Linked DNA regions of Oryctolagus cuniculus. The protein of the gene in region 1 purifies or fractionates together with the protein of each later gene. This does not show direct contact. Links are inferred from orthologs where the notes say so. Each region holds a gene or a part of one and is shown in the gene's direction. Other genes may lie near its edges.

Region 1 (5,805 bases):
GCCCTAGTATTCCCAGGCCCCACATGAAACCAACCCACATGCTGACATCATTTGCCCCACACCAGTTAGGTCTCTTTAAAATAACTGATGACCGTGGCTGCCAGGCAGCTGTGGAGCAGAGAGTGCTGTCGTCCCCTGTAGGGCATTTATACCCTCCATGAACCGCAGCCTGCCGGAATCTTTCAAAGTGCAAAGTGTGCACTCATTCATTCACCAATCCTGTAAACTTCTCTGGAAGTGTAACAGGGATACACAAGTCCTGGCTGGGTGGTGGTGTGGCAGTTACACTCCTGCTTCTGATGCTGGCATCTCATGTTGGAGTGCCAGTTTGAGTCCTGGCTGCTCCAATTCTGGTCCAGCTGCCTGCCAGTGTACCTGGCTTCAGCCTGACCCATCCCTGACTCTTGTGACCATTTGAGGAGTGAACCAGCACAAAGAAGATCAGTCTTTATCTCTGTCTCTCCCTGTCTGTTGCTCTGTGTTCCAAATCTTTTTTTTTTTTTTTTTTTGACAGGCAGAGTGGACAGTGAGAGAGAGAGAGAGACAGAGAGAAAGGTCTTCCTTTTTCCTTTGGTTCACCCTCCAAAGGCCGCCGCGGCCGCCGTACTGCGCTGATACAAAGGCAGGAGCCAGGTGCTTCTCCTGGTCTCCCATGGGGTGCAGGGCCCAAGCACTTGGGCCATCCTCCCCTGCACTCCCAGACCATAGCAGAGAGCTGGCCTGGAAGAGGGGCAACCGGGACAGAATCCGGCGCCCTGACCGGGACTAGAACCCGGTGTGCCGGCGCCGCAGGGCGGAGGATTAGCCTAGTGAGCCGCGGCGCTAGCCGTAACCATTATTCCTAACACTGTTAACATAATGCTGCCCATTCTAAACTTAAACTCTGCTTTCTCTGGCTTCTTTTCAAGATTAGGTTGCTTTTTGTTGTGCTTTACTCATTGTAGTGGCTAAGTTCACAGCTTATTCTTCTGTTGATGAATACTTGGTTTATGTCCAGCTACAAACAGTGCTGCTGTGAACACACTGGGCCTTGGTTTTGGTGCATATCATTGGGTCTTTCTGCTGAATCCATACCCAGGAGTGGAATTGCTGGACGGGTTTTGGTTGAGTCTTTGAAACTGTTTTTCAAGGTCTTTTTACCAATCTGCACTCCCACCAGCACATGAGAGTGATGACTGCTCCCTCTGTGTTCTGAGTAGGTATTGTCAGTATTTTTTTAAAATCTTCAACATTATACTGATGTTTATTGTATGTTTTTATAAATTTTTGTTTTTATTTGAAAAACAGGGACAAAGAAGCACCACTTGGGATGACTCCCGTATCAGAGTGCCTGGGATCAAATTCTGTCACAGCTCCTAATCCAGCTTCCCACTAACGTGCAATCTGGGAGGCAGCGTGAGATGGCCCAGATACTAGGGAGACCTGGTCAGAGTTGTTGGCTTTGGCCTCGCCTTCCCTGGCCCAGCCTGACTTTTATAGGCATTTGGGGAGTGAACCAGGGGAGAGGAGATACCTCTCTCTGATGTGTAACCGTCTCTCTGCCAAGATTTTGTGTCTTACTATTTTAAAGATTTTTAAAAATACATTCTGGATACAAGTCCTTTTTCAGGTAAATAGTTTTAAATAGTGTCTATGAAAAGGCTTCAAAAGTTCATGGCAGTGTAAAGAAATCTAAACTTAAAATTTTTTTTTAAATTTATTTGAAAAGAGGAGTGACAGATTTTTCATCTGCTGTTTCACTCCCCAAATGGTTACAGCAGTCAGGGCTGGGCCAGGCCCAAACTAGGAGCCAGGTCTCCTACATGTGTAGCAGGAACTCAAGTATGCATTAGCAGGGAGCTAGATCAGAAGCAGTGTAGCCGGGACTTAAGCCAACACTCCAGTATGGAATGTAGGCATCCCAAGACACAGCTTAACCTATCTGTAACACAACACCTGCCTCTTCTGTGTAAATTTTATTGTTCAAATTTTAAGCTCACCAAGTTCAAGAAACTTATAAGTAGTGATAGCAACCACTGAGTCCATCTCTGAAAAACTCAGGGGTCCTGGGAGTTTAACCAGATCAGTGCCATCTTTTTTACATTATTAGCTAAGAAAAAGAGTTCCCTTTAAGGGAACAGAAAGAAGGAGCCAATGCAGGATGGATGCCTAATGATTCCCATTAAAACATGCTCAGATTTGCCCTCGTTTGATGAGTGGGAGCTTGGTCGTGTTGGAGGACTTTGTTGAAACTTCCCCTGGCATTTCCTCTTCAAAGCCTTGGTCATGACAGGGTTAAGCCACTGCCTACAACATCCGCATCCCGCAGTTCAGGTCCTGGCTGCTCCACTTCCTATCCAGGGCCTCCACTTCCGATCCAGGGCCGATCCAGCTCTCTGCTAATGTGCTTCAGAAAGCAGTGGAGGATGACCCAAGTATTTGGGTCCCTGCCACCCACGAAGGAGGCCTGGATGGAGTTCCAAACTCCTGGCTTCCACCTGCCCAGCCTGGCTATTGCAGGCATTTGGAATCAATCAATCAATCAATCTCTCTCTCTCTCTCTCTCTCTCTCTCTCTCTCCCTCTCTCCCCCCGCCCCTCGCTAAATCTGCCTTTCAAATAAATAAATAAATCTTTTAAAAAAAAAGTTGTAATTTCTGATTTTCTCCAAATCTTGTCACATCTAAGGTTTATTTATTTGAAAGTCAAAGTTGGGGAGAGACAGAGCTCTTCCATCCACTGGCTCACTCCTCAAATGACAGTCTGTTCTTAATGCAGGTATATGGTAACATGGGTCCCTGCCCTGCACACAGTGCCCTCGTACCTTCACTGAGAGAGCCCAGCCAGGCTGGGTGGGCTGTAGCAGTGCTTGCCCAGCAAGGCTCTAAGCGCGGCTGAAGGTTGTGTGGAAGCGGCCTCAGAGAGCTCTCACTAAAGGATATTTTGCCTTCTTTTGGGTTTCTGCAGATCTGTCTTCCAAGGCAGCAAGCACACCAAAGAAGAAAGCTGTCGTCCAGGCAAAGTTGACATCCACTGGCCAGGTGACATCCCCAGTGAAAGGAGCCTCGTTAGTCACCAACCCCAATCCACGGAAATTTTCTGGCTTTTCAGGTAAGATAGGTTAGGGATACTAGAGCTGTTACAGCTCTTTTACTTGGGGATCTTGCTGACTGAAAATTCTGTGCTTTCTAGTCCCAATAATTGGCTTTTGTCTGAGTATAGACAGGTGGTGGCTAATTATCAGCATCACACTTGTACAGCATTTCTTTGTACACCTTAATCTCTCTCATAGCAGAAGGATGTTTGCTGTATTAGACTTTTTGCCTTAGGGGTAGGTCAGTGGTTAAAACATTGCTTGGAACCCCCACATCCTATATTGGAGCACCTGAGTTTGAATCCTGGCTCCACTTTGATTTCAACTTCTTGCTCATAAGCACCCTTGGAGGCAGCAGGTGATGGTTCAAGTACTTTAGTCCCGCCTTCTCTCATGGGAGACCTGGATTTGGTTCTAGGCTCCTTGCTCCTGCCTGACCCAGCCCTAGCTGTTATGAGTATTTGGGGAGTGAACCAGCAGATGTAAGATCTCTCTGTCTCTGCCTTTCAAATAAATGAGAATAAATGTAATTTAAAAAGTTTTTTTAAATAAAAGGACTTTTTGCCATGGAAGTCATTTCCTAGGCCAGACTAAGATTTTGTTTTAAAAGGACTTATTTATTTATAAATAAATGGCAGAGGGGCTGGCATTGTGGCATAGTGGATAAAGCCGCCACCTGTAGTGCTGGCACCCCATAGGGGTGCCAATTTGACTCCCCCCTGCTCCACTTCTCAATCCAGCTCCCTGCTAATGTGCCTGGGAAAGCAGTGGAAGATGGCCCAAGTTTTTGGGGCCCTGCCACCCGCATGAGAGACCCAGAAGAAGCTCCTGGCTTCAGTCCAGCTCATCTCCAGCCATTGCAGCCATCTGGAGAGTGAACCAATAGATGGAAGCACTCTTTGTCCCCCCCCCAACCCCGCCTTTCAAATAAATGAATCTTAAAGAGTGTAATATTAAAAATAAGTAAATAAACGGCAGAATGACAGAGAAGTAGAGACAGAGAAAGATCATGCATCCCCTAGTTCACTTCCCAAAGGCCTGTAACAGCCAAGGCTGAGCCAAGCTAAAGCCAGGAGCCAGGAACTCAACCTGAGTCTCCTATGTAGGTGGCAGGGACCCAAGTACTTGAGTCATCCCCTGCTGCCTCCTAAAGTACACATTAGAAGGAAGTCGGAATTGGAAGTGGAGCCAAGACCAAACCCAGGCACTCCAGTGTCAGGGGTGCAGGTATCCTACAGGATGTCTTAACGGCTGAGCCCAATGCCCATCCATTTTGTGTCTTCTTGACGATTGGATAACAGTAATGTCTTACATTTTCTTTCTCTTCACACAAGTGAATTTATACTCATACCCATGAACATACGATTTCTTTTATATAAAATATGGAGTTTCTGTTTCACAGACAGGAATTTAAGAAAATTTTGCTGGAGCATAGGCTATAAATGGGAGTTGAAAAGATCAGGATCAGGGCTCGTGTTGTGGCACAGGGTTTAAGCATCCACTTCTGATGCTGAGATCCCATAAACCAATACCGGTTCAAGTCCCAGCTGCTCTGCTTCCAAACCAGCTTCTTGCTAATGCTCCTGGGAAGGCAGCAGATGGTGGCCCAAGTACTTGAGCCCCTGCCGCCTCTGTAGGAGATCTGAGTAGAGTTCCTGGCTTCAGACTTTGGCCTGGCCTAGCCCTGGCTATTGCCATTTGAGGAGTGAACCAGCAGATGGAAGATCTCTCTGTCTCTCTGTCTTTCAAATAAATAAGTAAATCTTTTTTTTCTTTTTAAAGATTTATTTGTTTATTTGAAAGAGTTAGGTCTTCCATCCACTTCCAGATGGCCACACTGGCCAGGGCTGGCTGGGCTGAAGCCAGGAGCTTCTTCCAGGTCTCCCAAGTGGGTGTAGGGGCCCACGCTCTTGGACCATCTTCCGCTGCTTTTCCCAGGACATTAGCCCAGAGCTGGATCGGAAGTGGAGCAGCCGGGAATTAAACCAGCACCGATAATAGGATGCTGGCATCACAGTGGTGGCTTTACCATCTATGCCACAACGCTGGCCCCAAGTCAATCTTTAAAAAACAAACAAACAAAAAAGATTAGGATCATTTGTTAATCTTATGTAACAGGGAGTATTCGGCTAGGGAATTTCATTTGTTCTTCAGTTAATCTAGGAAGTACTTGTATCAGGCCTATTTTATGAATGTGAAAGCTGAAGTTCAGGTTCATTGTGGAGTTAATCTTTGCACTGAAGTCTATTTGACTTCACTAACTTCTTTTACCCTATACCTTGCTTCTCTTATTGTTTGAAATGTTCTTGTGATTTGACTCCATCGAAGTAAATATAAGGCCAAACTGCTTGGACTCAAGCTGTTTGGGGATTGAAAGAGGCTTTGAAAAAAAAAGAAAGAAAGAAAGAGGCTTTAGGCCTGATGTTGTGGCACAGTGGGTTAAGCCTCCACCTGCAACACTGGCATTCCATATAAGCACCAATTCAAGTTCTGGCTGCTTGGCTTTCAATCCAGCTCCCTGGTGTGCACCAGGGAAAACAGTGGAAGATGATCCAAGTGCTTAGACCCCTGCCACACACGGAAGACCCAGATAGAAGTCCAGGACTGGGCCAGGCCATTGCTGCCATTTGAGGAATAAACCAGTGGATGAAAAATTATCTTTTTTTTTCTTTAAGAAATATTAAGGTATAGATTTTTTAAAAAAATTTATTTATTTACTTGAAAGAGTTACAC
Region 2 (5,805 bases), on another chromosome or scaffold:
GTCCCTTTATATGCGTTTCTCTTCAGTTCCTGAGGTAAGCCACTTGAAGGAAAGTAGGACAATAATGGCAGTGTATTTTCCACTGAACGACTGAAATGAGTCAGTTGTTTGTATATCTATAGTAGTCTTGCAATAGAACACTTTTAAAAAAAATGTTATTTATTTGAAAGTCTGAGTTACACACACACACACACACAGAGAGAGAGAGAGAGAGAGAGAGAGAGAATCTTCATTTACTGGTTCATGGCCAAATGAATAGGCATGAATGGCTGGGGCTGGGCCAGGCTGAAGCCAGGAGTCTGCCATGTGGGTGCACAGCTTCTATGCCAGGCACATTAGTAGGGAGCTGGATCTGAAGCAGAGCAGCAGGGTCTCCAACTGGAGCTCATATGGGATGCTGATGTCACAGGCTTTACCCACTTTGCCACAGTACCAGCTTCCTGGAACACTTTTCTTAGATTGTGTAATTCATATGCAGAATTCAAGGTGGACTCTTGATCAGGCTGTAGTTGGAGTGCAAGAGGGAAAAGATGTGATTTATGCTTTGACTCCTCTGGCCTCCGTCTAGACACCCACTCCAAAAATAGGAAGACAGTAGGGGATGGCTGTGGTCCTTAAAGGCAGTAGGTTAAAGTAAAGGGAATGTAGTTCTGTTCTCAAAAACTAACTCATTTCCAGGTTTGATTGGACTTTGCTGTTTAACAGTGTTAACTAATGCCAAATTTAGTTACTGGTATTTGCAATTTACATTATCCATTTTTGTCTAGGAACCTCTGGGTCACTGGAGTCAAGGCTTGAAGATTTCAATGCAGGACCCCAAAATGCAGGTCAGGATAAAATTTTTGAATTTAAGCAAATTAGATGTTTTAAATGATCACAGAGGTCATAATTCTACATTAAATCAAAGGATATTAATCCTTTGAGATTTGTTTTATTGGGCTATTCTGTGAGAACAAGTGCTTTTTCCATTGGCAAAAAGGTAGCAACTGGAATTTGGAGAGAAGCTAAATTCTTCAAATGAATATCCCTTCTGCCTTACCTTTTATTATTATTTATTATATATATATATAGAGAGAGAGAGAGACAGAGAGGGAGAGAGCTCCCATCCATTGGTTCACTCCTTGAATGCCTGCAGTGACCAAAGCTGGGCTGGGCCAAGGCCAGGAGCTTGGAACTTAATCTGAGGTCTCCTATCTGGGTGGCAGAGACCCAATTACTTGAGCCATCATTGCTGTATCCCATAGTCTATATTAGCAGGAGCTGGGAGTCAAACCCAAGGACTGTAGTATGGGATTTGTGGGTTTTCCCTGGTGTCTTATCCACTTGGAAAATCCCTACCCCCCAAGTTTCTTTTTTTATTTTTATTCTACCCCTATTTTTTTTTTTTTTTTAATAATTTATTTGAAAGGCAGAGTGACAGAGAGGGGGAGAGAGAGAAAGAGATCCTTCATCTGCTGGTTCACTCCAAATGGCTATATTGGCCAGGGCTGGTCCAGGCTTAAGCCAGGGGACCAGAACTTTACCCAGGTCTCCCACATGAGTGGCAGTGGCCCAAGCACTTGGGCCATTCTTTGCTGCTTTTACAGGCACATTAGAAGGGAGCTGGATGGGAAGCAGAGCAATTGGGACTTGAACTCACACTTGATTTGGGCTGCTGGTGTTGTAAGTAGTGGCATAACCCACTCTGCCATAATGCTGGTGCTTCCCTTCACAGATCTATCTATCTGCACATATATATGTGTATATATATGTGTGTGTATACACACACATACACCCAGGATATGTGTGTGTGTATATATGTATATATATGTATATGTGTGTGTGTATGTATAAATCAATCAATCAATCCAGATCTCCCATGTGGGTGCAGGGGCCCAAGTACTTGGGCCATCTTCCACTGTTTTGCCCAGGCCATTAGCAGGAGCTGGATTGGAAGTGGAACAACTGAGACTTGAACCAGCGCCCAAATGGGTTGCTGGCATCATAGACAGTGGCTTTACCCACTATGCCACAGTGGCAGCCCCTCGCCCACAGATTCTTGTTCTGGGTTAGAATCCTAAATTTCCTACCTAGTAACTATGTGTGTTGTAAAAGACACTGGATCTCTGTGAGTCTCAGTGCTCTCATCTGTCAAAGTTGGGCTACAAAACATTTTGTACAAGACAGTGGTGGGAATTAGGTGACTTAATGAATATGACAGCACCTGGTACACAGATAATTCTCAGTAGATGTCTGTTTTCTTCTCTTGTGCCTCTCTGCTAGGTCTACAAAGATGAGCAGGTGGTAGTGATTAAGGATAAATATCCGAAGGCCCGTTACCACTGGCTGGTCTTACCATGGGCCTCCATTTCCAGTCTGAAGGCTGTGACCAGGGAACACCTTGAACTCCTCAAGCATATGCACACTGTAGGGGAAAAGGTGATTGCAGATTTTGGGTCCAGCAAACTCCGCTTCCGACTGGGCTACCACGCCATTCCTAGCATGAGGTAAGCTTGTGGGAGGTCCTGGGGCCTTCTTGTTCTGTCCAGGTGTTCAGGTAGATTCAGCCTGGGCTTGCTGAGTGTGCTGACAGCCCTGAGGCCCAGGGGAGTAGGATGGGATGTTTTCAAGACCTCTCAGCTTGACTTACCTGCAAACCTGCTCTGCCTATATTTCAGTTATGTATGATTCTTTGTTCCTCTCAAAATTCAGACCTTTCAGGACTTCAAATATGAGCTAGATGCAGCAGCTTGATTCCTCTCAGGTGAGGAACTGTGGTCAGTGGCTTTTATCAGATTTTTCAAAAGCATCTGCAGTGCTAAAATGACTAAGGACTGTTGCTCTGAAGGAAACACACACTGTAGGCTTCTTGAAAGATGGCTTAGTAGACCTAAGATTTAAAATAAAGTGAGAGGACAGTAGGGAGTCTGTTCCTTTGACTTATACCCAGAAGGATTTGGAAAGGAATTATTTTTCAAAAGAATGCAAGCAAGGCAGATCTTCACAGTTCCTTTGACCTGCAGAGTAAGATAATGAGACTGATTTCAAGTTTGTACCTTAATTTTATTTTTTAAAGATTTATTTATTTATTTATTTAGGGGCTGGCGCTGTATTTATTTGAAAGGCAGAGTTACAGAGAAGCAGAGAGAGAAAGAGCGGTCTTCTGTCTGTGGGTTTACTCCTTAAATGGCTGCAACAGCTGGAGCTGGGCCGATCCAAAGCCAGGAGTCAGGAACCAGGAGCTTCTTCCAGGTCTCCCACATGGGTGCAGGGGCCAAGAACTTGGGCCATCTTCTACTGCTTTCTCAGACCATAGCAGAGAGCTGGATCTGAAGTTGAGCAGCCGGGACTTGAACCAGCGCCCAAATGGAATGCTGGTGCCACAGGCAGAAGCTTAGTCCCCTAGGCCACAACACTGGTCCCTGTACTTTATTTATTTATTTATTTTATAAAGACTTACTTTATTTATTTGAAAGGCAGAGTTACTGAGATAGGTAGAGAGAGGGGTCTTCCATCCGCTGGTTCACTCTGCAAATGGCCACAATGGCCAGAGCTGAGCTGATCCAAATCCAGGAGCCAGGAGTTTCTTCTGGGTCTCTCATGTGGGTGCAGGGGCCCAAGGACTTGGGCCATCCTCTGCTGCTTTCCCAGGCACATTAGTAGGGAGTTGTATCAGAAATGGAGCAGCCGGGGCTCAAACCGGCACCCATATGGGATGCCAGCGCAGCAGGCAGAGGCTTAGGCCACTATGCCACTGCACCAGCTCCTGTAGCTTATTTTTTAAAAGTTGTGGTAAAATATGCATTAAGTGTGTTCTTTACTGGCATTAAGTATATTCACATTATGGTGCAACCATCATTGCCATCCTTCTCCAGGACTTTTTTCATCTTCCCCAAATGAAACACTGTACCCAGTAAATAATAATTCCCCATTAGACCAACATTCCCCTTTCTGTCTGTGAATGGAGTACAATAGTCTTTCCTCATCTGTGAGTCTGTGAGGGATATATTACAAGACCCCAGGGGGTGCCTGAAACTACTGAGCTCCATATATATATATACTTTTCTTTCTTCTTCTTCTTCTTTTTTTTTTTTAATTTTACTTATTTGAGAGAGTTACAGCCAGTGATAGGGACAGACAGAAAAGTCTTCCGTCCGTTGATTCACTCCCTAAATGGCCACAGTGGCTGGAGCTGGGCCATCCGAAGCTGGGCCAATCAGAAGCCAGGAGCCAGCAGCCTCTTCTGAGCCTCCCACACGGGTGCAGGGGCTCAAGCTCACAGGTGGAGGCTTAACCTACTGTGTCACAATGCCAATGTATACACTTTTTAACAATATGTACATATCTATGATAAGGTTTAAAAAATTTTTTTTTTTTTTGACAGGCAGAGGTAGACAGAGAGAGAGGCAGAGAGAAAGGTCTTCCTTTTTCTGTTGGTTCACCCCTCAAATGGCTGCTACGGCCAGTGCGCTGCGCTGATCCGAAGCTGGGAGCCAGATGCTTCCTACTGGTCTCCCATGCGGGTGCAGGGCCCAAGCACTTGAGCCATCCTCCACTGCCTTCCCGGGCCACAGCAGAGAGCTGGACTGGAAGAGGAGCAACTGGGACAGAATCTGGTGCCCCAACCGGGATTAGAACCTGGGGTTCCGGCGCCGCAGGTGGAGGATTAGCCTAGTGAGCCGTGGCGCCAGCAAGAGAGTCATCTTAACAATGCACTGCAATGAAAGTTATGTACATTTGGTTTTCTTGAGGAGTTAAGACAAATATTAGTATTTTGGACTGTGGTTGACTTTGGGTAACAAAAACAAACTGCAGGTGGGGGGCACCATACTCTGAGTATGTTATATAAATGAAATCATGCAGTATTTGATGTTTTGTGACTGACTTATTTTACTTAACATAATGATGTCTTCAGAGTTTATCCATACTGTAGTATGTGACTGAATTTCCTTTGGCAATTTTTTTGAGGTCAATACATCTTATATTATTTAAGGGAATACAGGATGAAAGACAACAATGATAGGCACTTGAAGACAGTTTCCAAAATCTTTTTGAGGGCCATCACTGTGATATAGAAGGTTAAGCCTCTACCTGCAGTGCTGGAATCCCATATAGGCACTGGTTCAAGTCCAGGCTGCTCCATTAATGATCTAGCTCCCTGTTAATGTGCCTGGGAAAGCAGTAGAGGATGACTCCAAACCTTGGGCCCGTGCACCCTTGTGAGAAACCCCGATGAAGCTCCTGGCTCCTGGCGTCAGCTTGGCCTAGCCCTCGCTGTTGGACCATTTGTTGATTGAAACAGCAGGTAGAAGATTACTTGCTTTCTCTTTCTCTTTCTCTTTCCTTCTCTCTCTGTATCTCTGCCTTTCAAATAAATAAATAAATCATTAAAAAACATCTTTTTGATGATTTTTTTTTTTTTGACAGGCAGAGTGGACAGTGAGAGAGAGAGACAGAGAGAAAGGTCTTCCTTTGCCGTTGGTTCACCCTCCAATGGCCGCCGCGGCCGGCGCGCTGCGGCCGGCGCACCGCGCTGATCCGATGGCAGGAGCCAGGAGCCAGGAGCCAGGTGCTTTTCCTGGTCTCCCATGGGGTGCAGGGCCCAAGCACCTGGGCCATCCTCCACTGCACTCCCTGGCCACAGCAGAGGGCTGGCCTGGAAGAGGGGCAACCGGGACAGAATCCAGCGCCCCGACCGGGACTAGAACCCGGTGTGCCGGCGCCGCTAGGTGGAGGATTAGCCTAGTGAGCCGCGGCGCCGGCCTTGATAATTTTTAATCCTAAAGTTATACTAGGTTAAATTAAATGACATTCTTTAAATATCTA

Evidence for each region.
Region 2: the proteins of LIG3 (region 1) and APTX purify together in Homo sapiens (affinity purification with mass spectrometry; 3 studies listed by BioGRID and IntAct, with this or other methods). This does not show direct contact. The link is inferred for Oryctolagus cuniculus from reciprocal best matches to the Homo sapiens genes LIG3 and APTX.

What each region holds. Positions count from the first base shown.
Region 1 is NC_091448.1:39,293,529-39,299,333, reverse strand, and holds part of LIG3 (DNA ligase 3), read left to right. Parts: intron 1-2,945; coding exon 2,946-3,089; intron 3,090-5,805. UniProt on the Homo sapiens protein: Isoform 3 functions as a heterodimer with DNA-repair protein XRCC1 in the nucleus and can correct defective DNA strand-break repair and sister chromatid exchange following treatment with ionizing radiation and alkylating agents.
Region 2 is NC_091432.1:196,395,307-196,401,111, reverse strand, and holds part of APTX (aprataxin), read left to right. Parts: intron 1-767; coding exon 768-827; intron 828-2,262; coding exon 2,263-2,486; intron 2,487-5,805. UniProt on the Homo sapiens protein: DNA-binding protein involved in single-strand DNA break repair, double-strand DNA break repair and base excision repair.